Schizosaccharomyces pombe: one gene and its partners. Changing the gene in region 3 together with the main gene of any one other region gives a genetic interaction. Each region holds a gene or a part of one and is shown on either strand. Other genes may lie near its edges. The genes, in order: sds23, isp6, wis1 and ptc3.

Region 1 (5,221 bases), 190 kb from region 3:
AACTTTTTAGTGTCAGATGCTACGGTTACTAAAAGACTTCACATAATCAACCCGACTGAAATAAAAAATCTTCTTGATTCCAAATCTATTAACTTGTCGCTCGTTTCCAAATATTTACTCGTTTCTGCATTCCTAGCATCTTATAATCCAAGCCGGTTAGACGCCCAATTTTTTTCATTTTCTAAAACTTCGAAACGACGTGGAAGAAAACGTAAACAAATTCAAGATGAAGGGGTTTTATTTTCCAAAATACCAAGAACCGCTGGGAGCAAAGGCCGGTCTGCTGTAAAAATATCCCAACTTACATTAGGACCTAAACCTTTTGAAGTAGAAAGGTTGATTGCTATTTATTATGCCATTTCTTCCCCGGTAGAGAAAGTTCTGACCGCTGATGTTTTTGTTCAAATAGCTACACTCGCCTCCTTAAAAATGATACTTTCGGCTTCCAAAGGTGTGCTTCGCTCTTTGGATAGCCCTAGATACATTGTCAATGTCTCTCGCGAATATGTATTAAAAATCGCAGATTCACTTTCGTTTCCTCTCGATAGTTATTTGGCGGGATAGCTTAGTATTATGGTTTATTTTATTGCATTACTGAAATTTTGAATATCGTAGTTCTGTCACAATTCATTAATTTATACAGAACTATATGAACATCCATTCTATCTCCCCATAACATGTTATTTTACTGTTTAAAGGGCCCAAAACTTAAAAAACATATTTTTTTTTGTTACTTCTGGAAAATAAAAGAAAATGTACACTACAAACAATTCGATTACGCCTCTGTGATTCTGTGTAAACTGTTACGTATTTAACATTATGGAAGTTGGCAAAGCTGTAAAAAGCAAAAACTAGCGCCGAAAACACTCTTGACAAAAAAATAAAGTAATGTGCTGCTAAGATGGATACATAATATATATCAAGAGGCAAAGTTTCAATCATAACTCTGATATAAAAGTTAACCCTCTGAAAGAGCTACTCTGCTGCCGTGTAAATCAACAACGGGAGACAATTCATTAATAAGAACATATGTATAAAGAAAAGCGTCCGTCAGTTAACGTCAAAACATAAGTAAAAGTATATTTTTAATGGTTAATAAGAAATCATTGGAGATTTAACCAAAATCTTATCCATTTAAAGATGATTAAAAATAAGTATCAAAACCCGTTCATGAAATATGGAATGTTAGAGGTAACAGTAAAAGATGAAATAAAACGGAGGTTCAAATGAGAAAAAGAAAAAAGGGTGTTTCAAATCATCAAATATTTAGCATCACCGACGTTGTGTATCTACACTAGCTTTGCTATGGCTACGATGGCTGCTTGTGCTTCCTCGACGTCCATGTCTAAGCGAAGGAGCACTATGGGGAGCGGGTGGAAGAGTGCCTTTCATGTGAGCATATAAAACAGATATGATATCAGTTAAGCTAACAACGCCCAACAATTGATTGACCTTAACACCACCCATGGATCCAGGGGAAAGATGTGCGTTATTTTTTGGGGAAGGAGGGCAGGAAGGTGACTGCACAAGCCAAAGACGATGACATTGGGTAGCCACCAACTTAGCCAACGTAAAAGCAAAAGTAGAGGATTCATAGATGTTAAAAGCAGGAGCACTATCCTTACCAGCGCGGATACCCTGTTCGCTTTTAATGACACTCAAAAAGTGAGCACATGATTTGTTTAACAAATAGACAGAAGAAGAACGTGTAACGTATTTAACATCAACGAGAGATATGTTGCCAAGTAACCGGAATTGAGCATCGACAACAGCAAGTGAACCAATACCGGTTTGATTCATCTGTCGCAAGGCCGCGGCGACTTTTTGATCTCCAGAGATACAGGTGATGTCAGTGCTTCCAATGTCCAAAGAGTGAATTGTCCTGGACATTAGAGGCTCCAAATCGGGAAACGCACGAATATTATTCCACAAAAAGCGGATGATAGAGCGCTGAGAAGCCATAAAGCTCAATTCACCCTGTTCGTTAGTGACGGCAACACGACGAATACCGGAAGAAAGAATCTCAGCGAGACGTCCAAGGCTGGTGGTGTGAGGGATGGTGATAAAGTCATCCTTGTTTTTCCCGAGTTTTGCAACCTCATAAGCAGTAATGACTTTTCCAGCACGAATATCTTCAGCGACCTTTTTAAACCTGCCATCATTGAAATCATCAAAACCCACTACCATGAGCAAAAATGAGTTAAGATCTGCATAGTCAAAGGTCGTAGCAATCTCGTTGCTTCCCTTAGCAGCAACAATAGGCAAGGCGCTAAGATCTCGGTCGATCAAAATGGAACTTGCCTCTTCCATGGAAGTTTCCGGGTCTATGAGAGCAATTTCATTATCATGAAGAAATGTTACAGGGATATCTTGCCATTTATTTGAAGGAAGATTAGTGGGAATGGGAAATTGTGCCAAAAAATCTGAGACCGAGTTCACGCCAAAGGACTGACGTCCAGCGCTCGATAAAGAATCAGACGATTGAGTTGACAAAGGCATTCTATACAGTTTTCCAGTTAAAATCTCTTTCTTTCCTCTGCATACAACAAAACTTACTGTACCGTGCAGTTTGTCAAATCTAGGTCAGTGTGTGGTTCTGGATAGCGTTGAGGTAGGCAGTGACGGAAGTACCTAGTGATACAACGAAATAGGGGTACGCAGTGGTAAGGCTTTTTTAATCCACGACCTCTTTACCACATTAGACTGAGATCTCTGTAAATCCCGCCGTATACCACCGTCTACCTAATTAATCCACCATGTATGTGGCCTAGTTAAAAATTTCATAATCTGCGATTTCAGTATTTACATCACAATCAACCACTATTTCATTGCTTGCCCGCTTTCATCCCAGCAAGGTAAAACTAGGCAAAAAAATTTTTATTCTTTTTTAAAAATTTAAAAATTAAAATTAAACATAAGGATGGATTTAGTATGAGAGAAAAATAGCCAAGCGGTTAATCGGACGTTTTTCCTTGTTCATAAAGTGGGAAAGTGGGGCAGCTGCTCTAGTTGTAGATGCAGTGTAGGTCGGTTTTGCACAACAAAATCCTAATTTTGTCATTGCAAAAAGGCAAACAAAAATTTGTGTGCAACGATGAAGTGATTAGATGAAACGAGGCGCGCCTATGGAGCAATAAAGCGCTTTGTTTGTTAAAAATGCTTTTGAATTAGAGTTATGGATGAACAAAGTCAACACATTCATATGTACTAAATAATATTAAGACGCAGTATGAAACATACATAATTCAACGTTGCGATACCGAACAGCATCTACCCAATCTTGAAAAAAAAATTAAAATTTACTCTTTATGTTGTTTGATAATTTGGCAGGAGAATAGATAAGTCAAGTCATCAAGTAATTAATTTTATTAGTTAGTTTGAGAGTAATCTCGTACTGTAAGCATAATAATGCATGCTATAATATTGGGTACTCAGTTCTCTAATTATTATACATAGTACTTACACAGATGATCATCATTACCATTGCTTAGCAAAATTGGCAATCATAAACAACAGATATTTCTACCACTGCTATAGCGCTATACATCATTCGAATTTTGAGTGGACTTTTGCTCAAGACTTATTTGTCGAAGAAACGAATGAAAATCCACCCCTTCGTCTAATTTCTCTCCCCAAACATGGAGAAATCAAATCTATGTAATATAGGTTGGAGATGACCAAGTCAGCATTAAATGTTTGATCATCTCTTCACTTAGCAAATCCTATTGAATATCACTCAGTTAATCTCTTGTTTTGATCTTTTTCATTGATAAATGAGTACTAAATACATTACTGCTACGTATTGCTTCGTCTCATATAGTAACGGTGGCCAAATTTGAAGTGCGACAAAATACCATACTACTAGTAATAGAAATTCACATACTGAAACGTCAGATGCGTTTAATAAATAAAGCGCTTGTGTTTTGTTGGCAATTTGTGATTCAACGTGGTAATTAAAAAGTTTCAATATTGAGTAAATGGTCCGCTACAGATCACTCCGGGGAAGAGGTTATTGGGTTACGTAAAAAGACTCATGTGCTGTGGGAATAGCTATTGAAGAACACAAGGTATCGATTGTGTCTCACTCGACGTACCATAAGAAAGTTAAATGGTAAAGTGTGATATATGAAGTGAAAATACAACGTTACTATAATTAGCGGATCCAAGATGTCCAAATGATGATGATGATTGATATAGGAAATGCGATTATGTAGAAGATAAAGTGAATTTCCAAAATATCAAAATTAAAATCGAAAATAATCGAAATAACATATTGATATATATATGTAATTTGAGAAAATAAAATTTAAATATATAGGACACAAATAGACGCTCATCTAGTAGAAGAAATTCCAGCAGTCCAGTTACGGTTTGTAAGAGCATAAAATAAAGTAAATCCATAATTCATATAATAAGTTTTCATCTTGTCCTTTATTTAATTTTATTTTTTATTTATTTTTTATTTTTTTTTTTTAAATTTTTACTCCTTTCATTGATTAATTGTAGTAAAAAAAATCTACAAATTCATCGTCCATTTTATCCTATTCACTCGCAATTCTTTTTGGTAAAACACCCACGTGCGACTTTGTATTTGCTTAACGTACAAACTGCCAGTAGCTTAGTGTAAAAAAAAAATTAAAAAAAAAATAAAAAAAAATAAAATAAATCTATAAATGAATCATTACAAATAACGAATTACCAATTGAAAAATTAGTTAGAGTTTCTTTAATTGATCATTAATACATTATCGAATATTAAAATACGTTGGAAATCTGATATAATGCTGCGCACTTTATTAAACAATGAATTTCCACTAAATACCATAATAGCTTCTGTCTTGTCCTTGCTATGTAAACAAAGCTCAAGCCAAACAAAAACTTCAGGCGCATATTAAACAAGCACTTAACGTTTCGTACTAGATATTCTCTCAATTGAATTAATTGATATACGTTGTAAATTATTTCTATGACATGTACCTACCAGTCTTAAGCAGACATTATTAGATTTTGTCCTTTGTTTAACATATTCTCATGTATAAAATTTCTACATTTCTCTCTCTTTTTTTTTTTTTTTTTTAATTCACCACTTTGTATTGTAACATATTTACTTTCACTAAGTCGGCATTTTTTTTTTCCACATCATTAAACCTTACATCGCTTATAGTCGCTACCCTTTGGTCGGCCTTTCTACCCAAGACTTCGTACATACAGAAATCCTCAAA
Region 2 (5,863 bases), on a different chromosome or scaffold from region 3:
AAACTCAAAAAGATAGTAATAATCATCGAGAAGAAAATCTTCAACTGCATCGTCAACTCGGAGTTTTACAAAAGGAGAAAAAGGATTTGGAGCTCAAATTGTTTGATTTAGATCTTAAAACTTATCCCATATCAACATCAAAGGACGTCCGAATGCTACAAAAGCAAATATCAGATTTGGAAGCATCGTTTGCTGCTTCCGACATCGAACGAATTAAAGGAATTGATGAATGTCGCAATCGCGATAGGACTATCCGTCAACTGGAAGCTCAAATATCAAAATTTGATGATGATAAAAAGAGAATACAGAGCTCAGTTTCTCGTTTGGAGGAAAGAAATGCGCAACTGAGAAATCAATTAGAAGATGTGCAAGCTTCAGAAACACAATGGAAATTTGCACTACGTCGGACGGAACATGCTCTTCAAGAAGAGCGTGAACGCGTCAAAAGTTTGGAAACCGATTTTGATAAATATAGATCTTTGCTGGAGGGTCAAAGAGTAAAGAGAAGTGAAAGTAGATTATCCATGAGGTCCAATCGTTCGCCTAGCGTTCTAAGGTAGCCAAGCTTCCCAAAGACTCGACATGTATTTTTTAAGATGATGTAAATTATTAGTTCATGAATTTAAAATTATTTTATTATTACTATTATTATGCTCTGCGTCAACGTAACAAGTAACCACAAGGATACTTTAGTTCAAAAAAAAAAGTAAGTCGGTCAAGTAAAAGGCATTTTAGTTCGGTTTACTTTTTATTTTACCCCTATTATTTGTACAATGGTTATATGCAGCAATCACATTGTAAAAGAAAACTATGAAGAGATAGGCGGCGATATTAAATGTAGAAGAGCTCTTGCATAACAGCGGCACAAATATAAATACAAATACAAATAAAAGAAGAGGACATTTACAATTACACTTTAACATTGTAAGTTGGAAGAACATCACAAAAAAATTTCATTCAAGTATAAAAATTCTAAACGTGATTCAGTGGCTTGCATTATAAAATATTTATTGTCATAACAATCATTATAAACTGTTTGTAAAGAACAATCATAAAAGGAGCAAACGTTTTCAAAAAAATAAAACAATTACTCGATGTATTGAAAATCAAACACCGACTTATTGAAAACATCGAATGCATCCAACATGAAGTAAAATCTATTCTTGAGCACCATTGAAAGCGAGAAGGTTAATAGTGCTGCTACCAACAGGAATAGACAAGAGTACATCGTGAATACCCATCTTAATGATAGCATCTTTAACTTCGCTAGCGCTGGCAGCAGGGTGTAGGCCAAGGTAGTAAGCGGACAAACCTGCAACATGAGGGGTTGCCATAGAAGTACCAGAGATGGTGTTAGTACTAGTATTTGAACCGATCCATGTAGACAAAATGTTAAGTCCAGGAGCGAAGATGTCAACACAGCTACCATAGTTAGAGAAGTAGGCCATTTGGTCGTTTATAGTGGAAGCGCCAACGGTGATGGCTTTCTTAGAAGCAGCAGGAGATGAATAGCAAGCGTCATCATACTCATTTCCAGCAGCAACGGCATAAATAACACCGTTGGTAACGGCAGAATCAACAGCCATATCCAAAACAAAGCTGTTGCCGCCACCAAGAGACATGTTGCCAACAGAGGTTTTCTTGCCGGACGATTTGTGATGACGAACAGTCCACTCAACACCGGCAATCACATCAGCCATGGTACCAGATCCACTGGAACGGAGAACCTTGACAGCAACGATTTCAGCCTTCTTTGCAACACCATAAGCACGGCTAGCAATGGTACCAGCAACATGCGTACCATGACCATTGTTATCCTCATCAACATCACCAGAGGGAATGGTTGCACCCCAAGAAGCGCGACCTTCGAACTCAACATGATGAATGCTTACACCGGTATCTACAACATAAGCGGTGATGTTGTCACCAGCGCTGGAATCGTAAACATATTTGCCAATATCATCGTATTTGACGGATTTGTGAGAGATGCGAGCAAGTCCCCAAGGAGCGCCACTTTGAGTTTCAAGTTTCTTAATGCTGACAACTTGATCACGCTCGACGGCGATGACATGAGGATGCAAGCGAATTTGCTCAACAATGTTAGAGCTGAATTGACCAGAATAACCTTTGAAAGAGTCCTCGCCAAAGTCATAAACATGCTTCAAGCCAAACATGTAATTACTATCACTAGTATCGTAGTACTCATCTTCTTGAGAAGCAATGTCCATTTGGTGCATCTCCGAGACCCAATTAGTATGGGCTTGGAATTCTTGTTCGCTCAAATCAGGCTGCAAAACAATGATATAGTGAGAGTCCAGTCCAGTGGTATCGGCGTTGGAAGCAGACAAGAGAGGAGCGGCATTAGGACCAGCATGAGGTTTGTGCTTAGGGGTAGCGGCTTCGCCGTGGGAGTCGTAGAAAGCGTTATCGAGCTCAGGACGGATACCAGCATGGGCAATGTCCGAATCAGTCGCTGGCATCACTGGTGCAGCACAGGCAGTAGAAGCGAAGAGGGCCAAACCTGCGGCGGCAGAAAAAAGATTTGAATAAGGAATTCTCATGTTGATGCTGAGAAGACGAGGCTGTTGGAGGGGGAAGTGATTGTGATTGTGGTTGGGGTAGTGATTGAAGGCGGTTAAATTGCTGAGATTGCTGAACAGTAGGCAAGTATCGTTGTTCCGTGTTTACTTATGAAAGAAAGACAAGGAAAACAGATGACAAAGACTATTGAAAAACTAACTATCTATCCCAAGTTCAGATAGGAAGAAATCGAGAGAGATGAATAAAAGAAAAAAAAAAAGAATTGTGGGCTATATACAAACTATAGTAAGTAGTATATGGGCGAACAATGGGATTAAGAGTTATTATAAAGAAAGGGAGAAAGAAACTATAATAATTCTCTAACAATTACTTTAATAAAATAAAAAATTGCAAGCAAATGAAAAACACAAAGCGAAAAAAAACGACTGTGAATGAAACAAAATCAAAACTAGTGGCACTGGTAAATTCAATTCCAATGCAACTTGTTCTAAGACGTTTGACTTTGTAACGAGGAGCGTACTGATACACGACTCAATGGGGGCTACCTCTTTCGTTTATATAGTCTATCCACCACCCGTACCCTAACCCTCGAACATCAACAAAGGGAGTTTGGACAGATAGAAGCAGAGATTCCGTAAAAAAGCAGGCAAAACTCAATTCCAAATCCATTCAATTCAATTGTAATATAATTTTTTTTAAAAAAATTCTGTTCATTTACTTCTCTGCTTTCTCCCTTGATTATTCGTCAAATGCCACTGTTCTGCATGCATCGCTGTATTAGCACTTTCTCAAGCGCGCCCTCCCTTTCGCAATTCGTTACTTGGCTGACTTAACGAGTCACGATATGTTCACTTGACGTCACCCCTCTAATCTAGCGATACGAGGTGGTTAGTGGAGGAACGGTGATCCATTGCCTGTGATTGGTCGATAAGCTCAAACAAGTGGTTCTTAGATAAACTTTGAAAGGCCGGATTGGTAAGGGCCACTCAACTGCCACTCTGTTCGGTACATTGAATGATAACGCTTCATGCGCATTGCGCTGCTTAGGGCAGAAAAAAGAGCAATTCAAAGATATGGAGGAACGGAAGCCGATTCACTGATAACTTGGTAATCCACGGATACACACATTGATCGGGACATACATAAAAAAAGAGGTTTGCAAAATTTCCAAATGTATGGAAGCAACAGCATATCCATATTCAACAATATGCACTCAATGTCATTTCATTTTCAGAAAGGTTTATTCTTTCCTTTCATGACTAGTATTCATTCTACACAAACAGTAAACTGAAACGAAAACAAATAAATTATAAAACACTAGCACAATTGAATGAACATGACTCTCGGTGTTCAGCTAACGCCCACTCATGTAAACAAGTGCTTGATGAAAAACATCCATCCATCCATCCATCCCCTGATAAGTGTTTGCTACATTACAACAGCCATTCTATCTTTATCAACAAATTGGTTGGAGACATTTATTTTAGAGGAGAGAAGATTGAGAGATTGTGTGTGCGTAAACAGTTAATTACCGATGCATCGTATTTCGGTTATTGTATATAAGAAAGAGTTGCTAGATGAAGCAATGAGGGACTTTAAAATTCCCCATTTTCACTATAAAATCCATTTCTTCTTTTCTATGAAACTTTACTTATTTGTATATTCTTATATAAATTGTTAAAGAAACAGCCTGTGGAGTGAGATCGAGCGAGTATTCGTAGCAATCGCTGGCTCTTTCCTATGTAACTTTTCTTCTATGCAGCCATGAAATTTAATGCAGTACAAGGGATTTAATCAAAGAGTTTTAATGATGAACAGAATGCGTGGATGGCATTTGCATTTCTTTGTATACGAACAAACAACATGTGACAACATTGACAATGTTTGAGATTCCCACAGTAAGAGAGATTGGGCGCTGTGTTGAAGCTCTTTCATCAATGCGCTCTCATTCCAGGTGTCGTTTGGACTAGACCATCACTAATAGTTCAACAAGTTGAAACAATTAGCAAACAATACAGAGAACAATGGCGTTATATTGGAACAAATGAATGACGGTTCTGTATTTTGGTGGCGCCGTACACCCAGCAATTTTGAATTTGGGAGCTTTTGTATATATTTCGTTATAAGTACTTGGTACTTTGGAAACGAAACAATCTCTAATCGCTAAATATCTTGCCATCATCGGAGCTGTTGCACTTATCACTTTATTCAAGCAGCGCTTATTAGGAATAAACTAAAGAGTAACATAGTCAGATTTCTCTGATGGTTGGATTGAATTGAATTGAATTGTCGTCGATAAGCTATATACTCCATCTGTTTTGCTCTAACAAAGCAATATAATCTAGAGTGCTAATGTGCTATAGTGAAAAAATAAGATAGAAAAGTAAAAAACATATTTGGATAGGAAAAATGAAAGTGGTTGGTAGAATCCACCCCCTCAAACCAACCAAAAAAAATTGAAATATTAACGAAAATGAAATAAAGACATGCTCATCAAACGAACTATCCCTACAATGCTCACAGCCTTCCTTTCATTACATATCTTCCTTAACTTCTTTTATCGTGCTTTAACGCATTTGTTTGCATAGTATTACAGGGTTCGTTTTAACACACTATATGCTTTACACCGCTTGTATAGAATCGTGTAAGACTTTCTCCTTGTTGGTGTATGCTGAACTCTTTTTAAAATCCCCTGTTATTTGGTATTTCGAGTTAGCCTTAAACTGGAAATTTACCTCGGCTTTCAAGCAAAGCGTCTGGAAGCTTCAATATCTGTAGGAAAGAAAACTTTCTTTCCTCTAATCCTTTGATCATTAATCTTTTTTTAGCAAAATTTACTAGAAATTACCGGTTTCTTGCACGGTTTGTTTTGCACGCCGCGAAGTTACCATCTCAAGCGATTCACGTTTGAGAATCCTTCTCCATTAATACATGTCGATCCGTTTTCTTAAACGTTTACGGGCACCTCTATATATTCAAAATGCCTATTGCTCAAAAAACTATTTCTATCGATCCTTTATTCAGTATTATAGTCCCTCCAATGGTCCCTACCTGAAGATAAGTATGAACAAAGCACCTCAGAGTCTTGGATTATGTACCGCTAGAGGAGATTCGCCGACAAATCAAGACCGTATGGCTTACGGCTACTTAAATAACCTAAAAGATACTACTAACAGAGATAGTCCTTTTTTCTACGGGCTTTTCGACGGTCACGGAGGTACTGAGTGTAGTGAGTTTCTTTCCACCAACTTGGGGAAGATTATTGAAAATCAAGATTTAAATGATACAGAGAAAATCCTGAAGGAAGTCCATTCCGTGGGTG
Region 3 (6,571 bases):
TGAAACTGCAAAAGCGAAATACGCATCTCAAAAGCGACCGTAATATATTACGGCGTTCTTTCTCAAAAAATATTCCACTATGAAGGAATTTTCATTTCCAGGATAAAAATCTGTTATGACTCTAGATTACCTTGTTGGACTTATGTTGGGAGAATTTGTTTCTTTGATATATAAAAGTCTCGTACTTTTTAAATAAATGAATACCTCAAATCTCTTTGAGTAATATATTAATAGTTTAAGTAATTATTATTAGGTCGATATAATATCTATTAACACTTGCATTTACGATGGATTCAATCTCTCTAAGTAATCACCATTGTAGGAAACAGGAGATCATAGTAGCTAAAACGACGGAGCCAGTCAACGAAGTTTTAAAAGAAATAAATTAATACAGTACAAGTAACTTTTACAATTGCAAACTTTCGTTTGCACTTCTAAAGCCCCTTAGTTAAATAAAAAAAAAGTTTTTTATGGTGGACGTAAATGCCTTAAACAAATGTAATAACACATTAAATACCCGTTTTAATTTAAAGCAAAAATGCAAACATCAACTACCGTTATACGGAATCATACCCAAATTATTAAATTTATGAAAAAGCACAAATGCAAAATAGCGTCGGTTCTGCTGAAACATAATTATGGATCACGTAATAGTCATGCATTCGAAATTAAAGACAAACACCAATGCGCATGGGTACTTTAAAACAGAGCAGGCAATTAGAAAGCAGGCGAACCTTTAGCTTCTTTTTTCACCTTTCTCTTTAAGAGCGCCTTTTGCCCATGAAGCCATGTCCACATCTGCATTTTGATATTTTAACAACCATGGATGGTTAGCCAACTCATGATAATCGGGACGCAAAGACGGGTTTTTATTCAAACACTTGTTTACAAAATCACGAGCTTCGGGAGAAAATGAATCGGGGAGAGAAGGTGGATCGCCATCGCAAATCGCCGATAGTTGTGCAAATATTGAAGTATATGATTCAGGTGGATACGGATAAGCTCCTAAAGCCATTTCTAAAATGGTAAGGCCTAGAGACCACACATCAGCCTGTACGGTGTAAGTCAAGACGCCATTGGTAGGTCCACCAACACGAATTCTTTCAGGAGCCATGTAAGATTGACATCCAATGTTCGTTTTGGATATAGAAGCCACAAGATTCCCACTCACGCCAAAGTCACATAACTTAACCTGGCCATTAGAATTTACCAAAACATTAGTAGGTTTAACGTCACGATGAATGATATTATGCTCCTCTTTCAAAGTTTTGAGGCCTTGCACTACAGCATAAGCAGTTCTAGCTAAAACTCCTTCGTCTTTGATACCACCAGCATACAGTTTGTCCATGCTACCAGCATCCATATATTCCATACAAATAAAAACAGAACCTTCCACAAAAAAGGCACCATAAAAGTCAACGATATAAGGACTAACTGCTTTATGTAAAATATCCAATTCCATTATAATTTGATTAAATGTTGCTTCTTCTAAGGACAACCTAATTTCCTTCAAGGCCATAGTGACACCAGTCGGTTGATGCAATGCTTTATACACAACACCATAGTTACCTTTTCCAAGTTCTTCAAGCTTAATAATCTCTGACATATTAATACGAAACGAAGAGCCAGATGAAAAGTTAACACCTTCTGAATTTAACACGGCTTTGTTTTTAAAATTTAAGGTGCCTGATTTTGCATCCAAAATATCCGAAAATGTGGAAAAAGGGGTTTCCGAAACAGCCTGTTTAAGGGTGGGAGGAATGTTTAGGCCACGGCGAGAAGCCATGCTAGACGGACTGACAGGGCTGGTGGGATTGGAATTGGATAAATCGAGTTTTCCAGGTGGTGCACGACGGATTCTCGTTTGTCGATTGAAGGACGTTGGACGGTTGAGTAAAGGATTCCTAGCAGCAGCAAGTGATTTTGCAAGCCCGGACTCTGGCATATTCGGAGACTTTACGGGCGAATTACTTAATCGACCAGCAAGTTGAGAGTTAGGCAAAGGATAACTTCCTCGTTGACCCATACCGACAATAGGGGTAGTTGGACTACTGATCTTGTTGACTACTTCCGGCATTGATTTTGATCTAGATGCATGGAAGGCCTTCAATTTCTCCTGTATATCAGTTGAAAGTCCTCCAGGAAATGGGCCCGGTGGAGTAGGAGGAGATCCAATATTGTTCTGACCAGCTGCTGTAGGAAGTGAACGTCTAGGTTTTTCCGAAGGATCCTTCATGTCAAGGTTAAGAGAGTTACGACTCCGACTGGACGTAGATCTGCCAAGTCTGACCGTAGGCACGGCACGGGGAAGAGGGGGATCGGAAGGTATTTCACGACTAGGAGAAGAAACCTTTGAGTCATTGTCACTGCCACTACTGTTAGAATTTAAAGACAAGGAACCCAAGGAAGAACCAGAAGAATCGGTGTTTGAAGAACTTGAAGACGAAAGAGAAAGGAGCGAGCCGGGAGTACCAACATCACCGGGAGGTGCGGTAGGAGAAATAGACAGCTGTCTCAATGAGCAAGACAAGGGTTGATTATTTGGAGAAGACATATAAAATAAATGTGCTTCACAAACTTAAAAAAAAAGAAAAAAAAATTAGGTAAACTAAATTCCGGTAATATAAATGAAGCAAAAGTGAAGATGAACGAAAGTGAGATGGCAATACAAAAAAGGTATCTTGGGTGAAAAGAACAATTAAAATTAGACAATCAATTACGAGTCGTCTCCGACGAAGAAGGAAAAAAAAAGCGGTGGTCTAAAAAGTCCGCAGGAAGGATATTCCAAGAAAAAAAAAGGAAGTTTAAAGGCAATCACCTACGAGTAGCTTTGTGTAGGTAAATGCCACGGAAAAAAAGGAGGTTTGGAAGGGTTTAAATTTAACAGCAAAAGCCAGAAACTGGAAGAAACAGGGGCTTAGATAATAAATTTCCCAAGGAGAACTAAAGAAAAAAAAGTAAAAAGGTGTGGGTTAATCTTAGTCCGAGAAGTCAATACTTTAAAACCGAGTTATGACCGACGAGTAAGGAGGCAAAGGTAAGGAGAAAAAGTAATAATTCACAAACACGAAATAAAAAGGAAAGAAATTTGAAATTATCTTTCTAAAAGATAACACGTAAGGGTGTGGAAGGAAGAGAAAAAATTCAGAAACGCTTTTCTCTTACAGTAAAGAGCAAAAAAAATTCTGCTCTTTAAAGGAAATGGGAAAATTTAGGGAGGGTGATAAAATAGGAAGTGTAGTCGGTACGATGTAAATAAGATATACACGTCGAAAGGGAATGCTTGAGAGATTAGGAATCCCAGCTATCGCCAGCCGGCTGGGGTATGTTTGGGTATACAAGAAGGTGGAATGGGATGGAGTTGGTGAAGGATAAAAGGATAACGAAAGTCAGACAACACGTTGCTTAATCTTAAGGAGAAACTTTTGCACGTTAGCTTACGTATCAGTATATAAGGATAACGTGGATAAAAAAATGTTTCATCAAAACAAGGGATGGTTAAGGGATACAATCAAATTTGTAAAATCAAAATAACGTGAAGCCAAATAATATGCTGCAGATCTCCGTATAAGCGTAACGACCTGTATGAATCATTCGACAAGATTTCTAACAAGGTATCCTGAGATTTATATGCAAATGGAAAGAATGTACGGCAGAAATAGCTGGTAAGAAATACCTCGATGGATTAATGGGAAAGCACAGGATGATTGGGTAAAATGCTCAACGTATAGAGAATAATACATAGAAGTAAAGAAAAACAGAAAAAAAAAGGGCCGAAAAATATTTTAATGGAAGATAAACACAACGATTTATCGGTCTTGACAGAAGGAATTGAATTGTCCGATAGATATGGTAGTGTTTGATTAGAAAAGAATAAAGAATAAATAAATAAAAACAAAAATAATTAATGATTAGGTGCATAGGGCTTTAAGTTTCAAAGCTGGTATTCGAATGTCAATGTATACTAAGAAAAATCATGATCCAAGGTAAAATGTATAACCAAATAAATAAGAGAAATATAACTAACCTAGTAGCTTCCGTCCTTGAGAGCGATAAAAAAAAGCGAGTTAACGCACAAGTGTTTCGAAAAGGTGTAGTAATGTATAATAAAACATTTTTTAATAATCGTTAAAAGGTTCAGCAAGTGGAATGAAGAGAGTGTGTTATTTGTGCTCTAGAAGCAGCGTAAAAAAAAATTTATTTATTTTTAAATTTTTTTTTTTTTTCTAATTTTTTTAAATTTCTTTTGTTTAAGGAAACACACAAAAATAATGTAAGAGTAGCAGCAAAACTGCTAGGAACATTTTGTTCTATGGAAAAAGACACTGAAGTGAAAAGTGCAACGAAGGGGTAGAACTTTCGTAGGAAGGAAAAACAAGCAAAGAGAAAAAAATTTACAAAAGTTCCTAGATCACTCCATCTATATGCAAATGCATAATGTACGGTGTATGCTCGAACAAAGTAGAAAGGGGGCTATAAAAACGATTTGAGGATAATCCTTTATTAATGAGAAAAAATTTGGAACGTCTAGTTTTGCGCCAACATCAAGGGAAGACAAAAAAAATTTTCATTAAAACAGACTCAATAATGTTCAATTGAGATAGAAGAATACAGAAAGAGTCGAATGATTGAACATGTGGTGAAAAAGGCTGAAGATGAAACTAGATAGAAAGAGGCTGTATTCCCAACATCCAAAAATGAGGAAAAACTAAAGAAGAGAAGGAAAGTGGAATAAAATGAAGAAATTAAAAGAGAAAATCATACGATGAAACTGAGAAGAAGAAGAAGGCATTTTATTTTAATTTTATTAATTTTATTAGATTTCATTTCGTTTGACGCTTTACGGTTTCATGAAATGCCAAATTGCTAATTCTTTATTAGATTTTGGAGTATTTTCATTGTTAGTCTGCGAGTATTTTCATTATTAGTTTGTATTTAAAAAGTTTCATCGTATGTTTCTATAGATGCGTTTTTTTTTACATTATTTGAATTGAATGAAGAATTGATTTGCTATAAGAGAAATTTTTGACTTGGTATGGTTGCTGGCTGGCACCCACGGCTGCGTATGCCACATACCATACAATAGTAGACTAAGACGACTGTACATACGAATGGTAGTTGTTTTTTGGGGAAAGGAAAAAGGAATTCTTTGATAGTTAGAATGAATAAAAGGGTAGCGCTTATAATACACTGAGTAGAGAAAGAAAAGCGTGAAAAGATGACTGATTATTTGCAGAAAGACATTTTCCATCGTTCAAAGACCAACAAGTAAACATGGCGATCGGTAAAGAAGCGGTTCGTTACCTTGATCTGTAAAAAGAAAGTAACATGAGCGATGAATCGATAGCGACATGCACTGGAATATGCAATTGGGGTTTATTAGTTTAGTAAGGTTGTAGGAATGGTAATCGAGTTTATTGTAATCAAGTATAATGATATGGTGCAATGCGCGAGTACAAGAGCAGCAATATAATGGAGTACAGGAGCGAGAAGCAGTATTAGTTATTGTCGTAGGAGGGTTGTAGCATAAAGTGAAAGGTGCTATAAGGTATTGTAACGATAGCTTGTTAAAAAATGTTTTGACAGAAACGTTTGAAATGGATTGACATTGATATAGAAGCGTATATTGACATTTATAAACAAGTATATTATTTACATTCATGTAGGAGCTTATTATTGGCATTCATAAACAACTTATTATTGACATTCAATGTAGATTCATATAGGATTTTATTATTGCCTTTTCTAATATTCATTTTTGACATTTTTGTGATGCAGTGTTGCTGGAAGCGAAAGATTAGCACCTTTATCAAACTGTGCGATGATCTTTGTCTGCCTGTATGTGGAAAATGAGAGAAAGTGAAGAATAAAAAAAAGGGAAATTCGACAATATCTAGTACTGCGACAAACATGTCTGTAAAATTTAGGTGATTGATTTGTGTTTTTCCACTACTAACATTTTATAGCCATTTCCAACCATTCATTCCTCTTCCCTTTTCCATCTCCATTACAACCTCATTCCTCTCCCCTAAAGCTATAGCACGTACAATAGAACAAGCATTATAATGAAAGAAAGCATATACCCATTCCACAATTTTACACCGTCCCACTCAGTATCGCTACAGTGAGAAATACTGCCGACAAAGCTTGCATCGTTTTTCGCACAATAACGTAAGGAAAGGAGCTCGGCGATACAAATACATTTTGTTTATTTCTCATATACTATTGCTGCATGGCCAAATTGCTTTGCCGACTAACAAAATGCCATGCCATGCCATGTTTATGTTACCTGATGATTTTTCTGGTCCAATCTGCACCTGTACTCCAAAACACCTTCACACCTTCACATACCGGCTACAAGTACCGAAGAATAACTGCCGATGCCGCAGCCACTGCAGCCCATTTTTTCGCATGCACATTTAGTGCCGCCGAAAAAGCAGTAGGATCGACCTCTTTAGCTTTCGTTAGCACGCGAGTGCGCAATACAACAAACCTTGTACTACTACTAAGTAAGTGTAAAGTAAAGTGTGTGAAAGCGTTGTAAAAGGAAAGGGAAGGATGAATTGCTTTC
Region 4 (5,663 bases), on a different chromosome or scaffold from region 3:
TTAGTAGAAAAACCAAACGTTCGTTGGGATGATATAGCGGGACTAGAAAACGCAAAAGAAGCTTTGAAAGAGACAGTTTTGCTACCTATTAAGCTGCCGCAATTATTTTCACACGGTAGAAAGCCTTGGTCAGGAATATTGCTCTATGGTCCTCCTGGTACTGGTAAATCGTACCTTGCAAAAGCAGTCGCTACTGAAGCTGGTTCTACTTTCTTTTCGATTAGCTCCTCAGATTTAGTTAGTAAATGGATGGGTGAAAGCGAAAGGTTTGTTATTCTACGTTAAAACTATTTACTCTTTAATATTTACATGACTAACATTATAGGCTTGTTCGTCAACTTTTTGAAATGGCGCGTGAACAAAAACCATCTATCATTTTCATTGATGAAATCGATTCACTGTGCGGAAGCAGAAGCGAAGGTGAGAGTGAATCTTCTCGAAGGATTAAGACAGAATTTTTGGTACAAATGAATGGAGTTGGAAAGGATGAAAGTGGAGTTCTGGTTCTGGGTGCCACGAATATTCCTTGGACTCTTGATTCTGCTATTCGCCGACGTTTCGAAAAGCGTATTTACATTCCCCTGCCTAATGCTCATGCCCGCGCTCGGATGTTCGAGCTTAATGTCGGTAAAATACCTTCGGAACTGACCTCACAAGATTTCAAAGAACTTGCTAAAATGACCGATGGCTACTCGGGTTCAGATATTTCTATTGTTGTTCGTGATGCAATAATGGAGCCTGTAAGACGAATTCACACAGCTACCCATTTCAAAGAGGTATATGATAACAAGTCTAATAGGACCCTTGTAACTCCTTGTTCTCCTGGTGATCCTGATGCATTTGAATCTAGTTGGCTAGAGGTGAATCCTGAAGACATTATGGAACCAAAACTTACTGTTCGAGATTTCTACAGTGCAGTTCGTAAAGTCAAGCCTACGCTTAATGCTGGTGATATAGAAAAGCACACACAATTTACAAAGGACTTTGGAGCAGAGGGATAGTAATATGATAAAGGAGCTATTTTCGCTTAGTTTAATGATACCATTATTGTAAAGAAGTATAATATCATGACTACACTCACAAATGTTGAATCACTTTAGTAAATTATGGAACTAGTAGAATATTGAAGGGAATGTATATTGCTTCGACAATATCTATTAGGGCAATCGGAAATTAGTCTGGGTATGTTTACTCATGCCAGAGAAATATTTTCCATAATCTTAACTGATTTTGAATCAGGATTATAAAAGACAGTATTCGACAAAATTGATATAGAAATCGCATGCTATCAAAAAGTGCAAAGTAGCAACGTACCAAAAACCTTTTCATTCTCGGAGGTAATCGGTATACGTCGCAGGCACGTATTATACGAACAACAAAAGAAAAGCATGAAAAAATGTTGAAACAAAACCGCCTAGCGTGACTTTTATAATAAGTCAACAAATAATGCTAATTACGAGGAATATTCCTAAAAGCAAGTTACATTGTGTAATATGCGTGAAGTAGGGAATAATCAATCTGCTGCAGACACAGCCTCCTTATGATCATCCGCAACATCTTTGTTAGAATTTACGATATCGGTTTCACTTGAAGAATTTTCCTCCTCGGCTTTATGAGGGAAAAAGTGTTCTTTCCATCTGAACCCAGCTGCAAGGGATCCGTTGGTGGAATCATCTTCCTTAGAATTTTCATTCGCATCTTTGTCATATCCATCAGATCCATTTAACTTTACTTGATGAAAATTAGGTGGGACAATAACTTTCTTATTGTTATCGCCACTACGCCATCCTGGGCCATGATTTTCGGCATACTCAGGAGGAGCGCAGGGTCCGTCGTTAGCGGCAACTCTATCTGCAATCTTCTTATACCATGCTGATTTATCGTTTTCTTGCAATAAGGCAACTATACAAACAGTCATGTTGTCACAACCAAGGCCGGTAGTTTCGGTGTCACTGGCTATGCAGTTATCCATTAAATTTTCAGCAATCTTCTCAAGAGAGGTTCCAGCAACTATGCCACGTCTAACAAACTCGATCACTTGCTGCGAAGTCTTGCAATCCCAAATACCATCACAAGCGAGTACGACGAATTCATCATCGTCAGTAATCTCATGTACAACAACATCCGGTAAGGCAGTAACTATTTGTTTTTCTGGTTCTAAATTACTGTTTTTGAACTCAAAATCACCGATAGCTCTTGACAAAGCCAAATTTCCATTTACACGGCCAAAGTCTACAAAGCCACCAGCCGCACAAATACGGGCTTTTTCGGCTTCATTTGAAGGCTTATGGTCTGCTGATAGAGGTTTTGCAATTCCCTTACTGCCAAGGACAGTTCTTGAGTCACCGGCATTAGCCTACACAATTAGTAAGACTAAACAACTTCCAAGACTTACACAATAAAGTTTATTTCCAACACGAAGAACAACAGTGGCCGTGCAACCTGATGGATCCGTATGAAATTGATCATCTGTCAAAATAGTTAGCAAAATGCAATGTAGTGAAATGACAAATTTTTTTTCTGAAACCAAACTAAATGTAACAACTTTTCAACATCAAGAGGTAAACATTTCTATTATCTTGGTAACAATTTTTCTAAGCATTAACTAGACAAAAGAACAAAAAATCTATAAAAATTTCAAACACAAAATTCATCAATTTTTTGGCGACTTTAAAATGGTTATGATATCAATGAAAACAACTTTATCATTGTTAACAACAAACTTACCATCCAAAATAGCTTTATCAGCATTTAAAAATGAAGATTTCAAAGCATTAACAAAATCGCCTTTCTGAAAATCAGGATTCTTTTCAAGAATCTGAGGAAGATTGCTTCCACACCATTTCGCGACTTTGTCTCCACCGTGGCCGTCATAAACCGCAAAAAAGTCGACCGGGTCTTTTACTGCAGAGCACTCCATTGAAAGTATAGCAGAATGAGCATCTTCCATTGAGATACGCCATCCTTGCATGCTTGAAAGTCCATAAAGGACGAACTCATTGCTCCCGTTCACCGAGTGCTTCTCGGTGACTGGCTCTGATAATGTCTGACCCATTGACAGCTCTTGCTAATAGATGACACAAATTTTCACGTTTTCTTTTTGTGTCGCTTCAAAACGGGTTATGTAGTAGTGATAGGTAAATCGCTAGTAGGTGGTGGAGCTTGTCGGAGGGAGTGTTGTGGCACCCTCTACAACTACATCACCACCGTGGAGACGAACGATAGTTGTTAAAAGACTATGGAAGGTAACAAGATTAGCAGTAGTCAAGGCATATATGTAAACAACAGAATAAATGGTATCAAGGACTAAATACTTATAAATTTCAAATGTTCATTAAAAAACATGTGTAAACATAGCATATCCTATAAATTGATTTTTCAATGGTTTGCATTTTACTATGACTACAATAGAGACAAAAACAACGCTGAGTAGAATGCCCCAACAAATTCAGCAACTTGATTCAGAAAAAATTTCTATTAGGCAAAAATGATATTATTTTGATTCAATTAAAAATTCCATTGGATTTAATAAATGACCAAATAAATTCTACTTATTAGAAAGAAAATTGAAATAGAACTATTTGATAGGAGTAATAAATCTTAGCAATAGCAAGTAGGATAACAGTTTTATAACAACATCAACAATGAAGATATACATAACTTTGAAAAATAGCACAAGAAGCTAATCTTTACGTTGCTCACTTTTAGCAAGTCCTTCAGCTAAACCTGTATAGTAGCCCGCATAGTACCAGCTCATGATAAGCTTTTTGTAAGTCTCGTCTAAATCATTATGTTAATAATAGAGAGTCATAAATTTTCTTAGAAGACCTTTTACTTACCATATGTTAACCCTCTTATAGGGGGAGGAACTTCCATAAACTCTTGATGTGTCTCTGCTGCCCTTGTTTCAGGCTTTTCGTCGCTAAGGCCTTTATTATCTGCAAACTGTTGGATATGTGTATCTCCTTCCAATGTCGTCTCTGTTTGCTGATTTATCATCTGCTCACCTTCTTCTAGCTTACTTATTGATTCTTCTGTCCGTGCAGCTGAAATTAATTTTTCACCATCTAGCCTAGAATCCGGGTCCGATACTCCTCCCTTTGCTTCAATACTATGATACTTTTTGAATTCATGTAAAGCGGTTTCAAAGGCATTTCTGAGCTCTGAATCATCCCACACTTCTTTTTGGCTCTGGTCCATTTTTGGTACAAGTTGTAGATAATCTATTCCTGTATGTCTTTCTTTGTACCTTAAGAAAGCTTTATTAACAAGTAGTTTCCAACTTTGTTAACTCTTATATTAATTGAATATTATTAAAGTGAAAATATTGTTTATAAAGCACAACGCGTATAACGATAAACAGTTTGAGCTCGGCGATTCCGCTTACTACAACAATTATAATCTGCTGTGGTAACTTAGCTCCTTGCCTTAACTATCAGCCGCCTTAGTGGACAGGACTACAAGAATTCGAGGTCAAAGATATAACGAGGTTCGCACATGGCGATGTGAACTCGTGGAAGTATTGTGAAAGAATGTTTATTCCAATTCATCTTTGTTTACGATTTTGGCTTTATTATACCAAAAAGAAAAAGGAATTGTATAAGCTACAAAAATCAACCTAAATCAGTTATCTAATATCCACACGAATAATTCATTAAATGCTACATGCGCTAATATGGTTTAGCGAGGACTTCTCAGTAAGTTAGCTTTCTGGGATAGATTTTAAACTACCTAATTGAATTTAAGGTAGCTCCACGTAATTACGTTACATATTTTTATGCATCGTCATCTTAATTTACGTTAAGTACATATCGCATTCTGAAAGACCATGCGAATGGGTATTGGATGAGTATCGTTCTACTATCCCTCCTCTACATACATTCATATTTTAAAGATTTTCGTTCATGAAAAACTATCATAACATATTTCAATAGTGTATCTTTTGATAATTTCCTTTTTCCGTTACTTTTTACATGCATATAATACTTGGATAGATCAGATTTTTCTTGTTCTCGATTTTCTGAAACGATCGTTCATTCATTCCTCGATAATTTGACGAAAGGACCCTTAAGTTTGCTACTTTGCAATAATGGCTTTCAATGGATATGGTATTTTCGACAGTGATCCTAGAAAAAGTAAGTATACCTATCCTTCCCTCATTTGTAACAAAATTGCTAACGTTGTTTGAATCTTCGATCTGCGGGTGTTAATTCCTACAGATTCGAGATTCATCGCTGAAAACAGATCCATCGAGCGATTTAAGAACTCAATTTTGGCTCGCCTTTTTACTTGGAGCCTCTGCATGCGTATTCTTTTGCTTCTTTCGTAAAAGATGGAAAGTACTATATGCCCCTAGAACTACCATTGAAGGTCTCAATTTACCTACACTTTCTTCATCGTACTACAAATGGTTAATGGATTTAGTAAACATCCCTGATGATGTAGTGCAAAATTGTGCTGGTTTGGACGGCTACGTTTTTTTATTGTTTTTTAAAATGGGTATAAAATTCCTTTCTTTTGCTTCCCTGCTTGGCGTTTTGATTATTATGCCCGTCAATAAGCATTTTCGTGGAGATGCATTCGGGAATATTACTTTGTCGATGCCTGCCAAATCTGAATATTTCTTCTCAAGTCCACTTGTCAAGAAGTCAATTGTACAATCT

What was found.
Region 1: of wis1 (region 3) and sds23, extra expression of one is lethal in a mutant of the other (dosage lethality), as found in Schizosaccharomyces pombe (one study listed by BioGRID).
Region 2: of wis1 (region 3) and isp6, changing one enhances a phenotype caused by changing the other (phenotypic enhancement), as found in Schizosaccharomyces pombe (one study listed by BioGRID).
Region 4: of wis1 (region 3) and ptc3, a mutation in one rescues a mutant of the other (synthetic rescue), as found in Schizosaccharomyces pombe (one study listed by BioGRID).

What each region holds. Positions count from the first base shown.
Region 1 is NC_003423.3:948,159-953,379, reverse strand, and holds sds23 (protein sds23), read right to left. Parts: upstream 2,604-5,221; 5' UTR 2,557-2,603; intron 2,501-2,556; 5' UTR 2,500-2,500; coding exon 1,273-2,499; 3' UTR 1,088-1,272; downstream 1-1,087. Other genes in the region: origin recognition complex subunit Orc5, read left to right, coding at 1-564.
Region 2 is NC_003424.3:2,542,048-2,547,910, reverse strand, and holds isp6 (vacuolar serine protease Isp6), read right to left. Parts: upstream 3,070-5,863; 5' UTR 2,562-3,069; coding exon 1,158-2,561; 3' UTR 930-1,157; downstream 1-929. Other genes in the region: Myo3-like myosin II heavy chain myp2, read left to right, coding at 1-560; mitochondrial serine/threonine protein phosphatase PP2C catalytic subunit Ptc4, read left to right, coding at 5,473-5,863.
Region 3 is NC_003423.3:1,143,231-1,149,801, forward strand, and holds wis1 (MAP kinase kinase Wis1), read right to left. Parts: upstream 3,374-6,571; 5' UTR 2,555-3,373; coding exon 737-2,554; 3' UTR 501-736; downstream 1-500. Other genes in the region: ubiquitin hydrolase Uch2, read left to right, coding at 1-43. UniProt on the Schizosaccharomyces pombe protein: Dosage-dependent regulator of mitosis with serine/ threonine protein kinase activity. May play a role in the integration of nutritional sensing with the control over entry into mitosis. It may interact with cdc25, wee1 and win1. May activate sty1.
Region 4 is NC_003424.3:818,650-824,312, forward strand, and holds ptc3 (protein phosphatase PP2C catalytic subunit Ptc3), read right to left. Parts: upstream 3,136-5,663; 5' UTR 3,056-3,135; coding exon 2,728-3,055; intron 2,480-2,727; exon of another isoform or gene 2,470-2,479; coding exon 2,396-2,469; exon of another isoform or gene 2,357-2,395; coding exon 1,514-2,356; 3' UTR 1,119-1,513; downstream 1-1,118. Other genes in the region: AAA family ATPase Vps4, read left to right, coding at 1-266, 326-1,001; smn1 (SMN complex subunit Smn1/Gem1), read right to left, coding at 3,683-3,780, 3,840-4,200; SPOM_SPAC2G11.09 (Ca(2+) transporter), read left to right, coding at 5,090-5,135, 5,245-5,663. UniProt on the Schizosaccharomyces pombe protein: Dephosphorylating regulator for many key proteins. Has an important role in osmotic stability and cell shape control. It may negatively regulate the osmosensing signal transmitted through wis1 map kinase.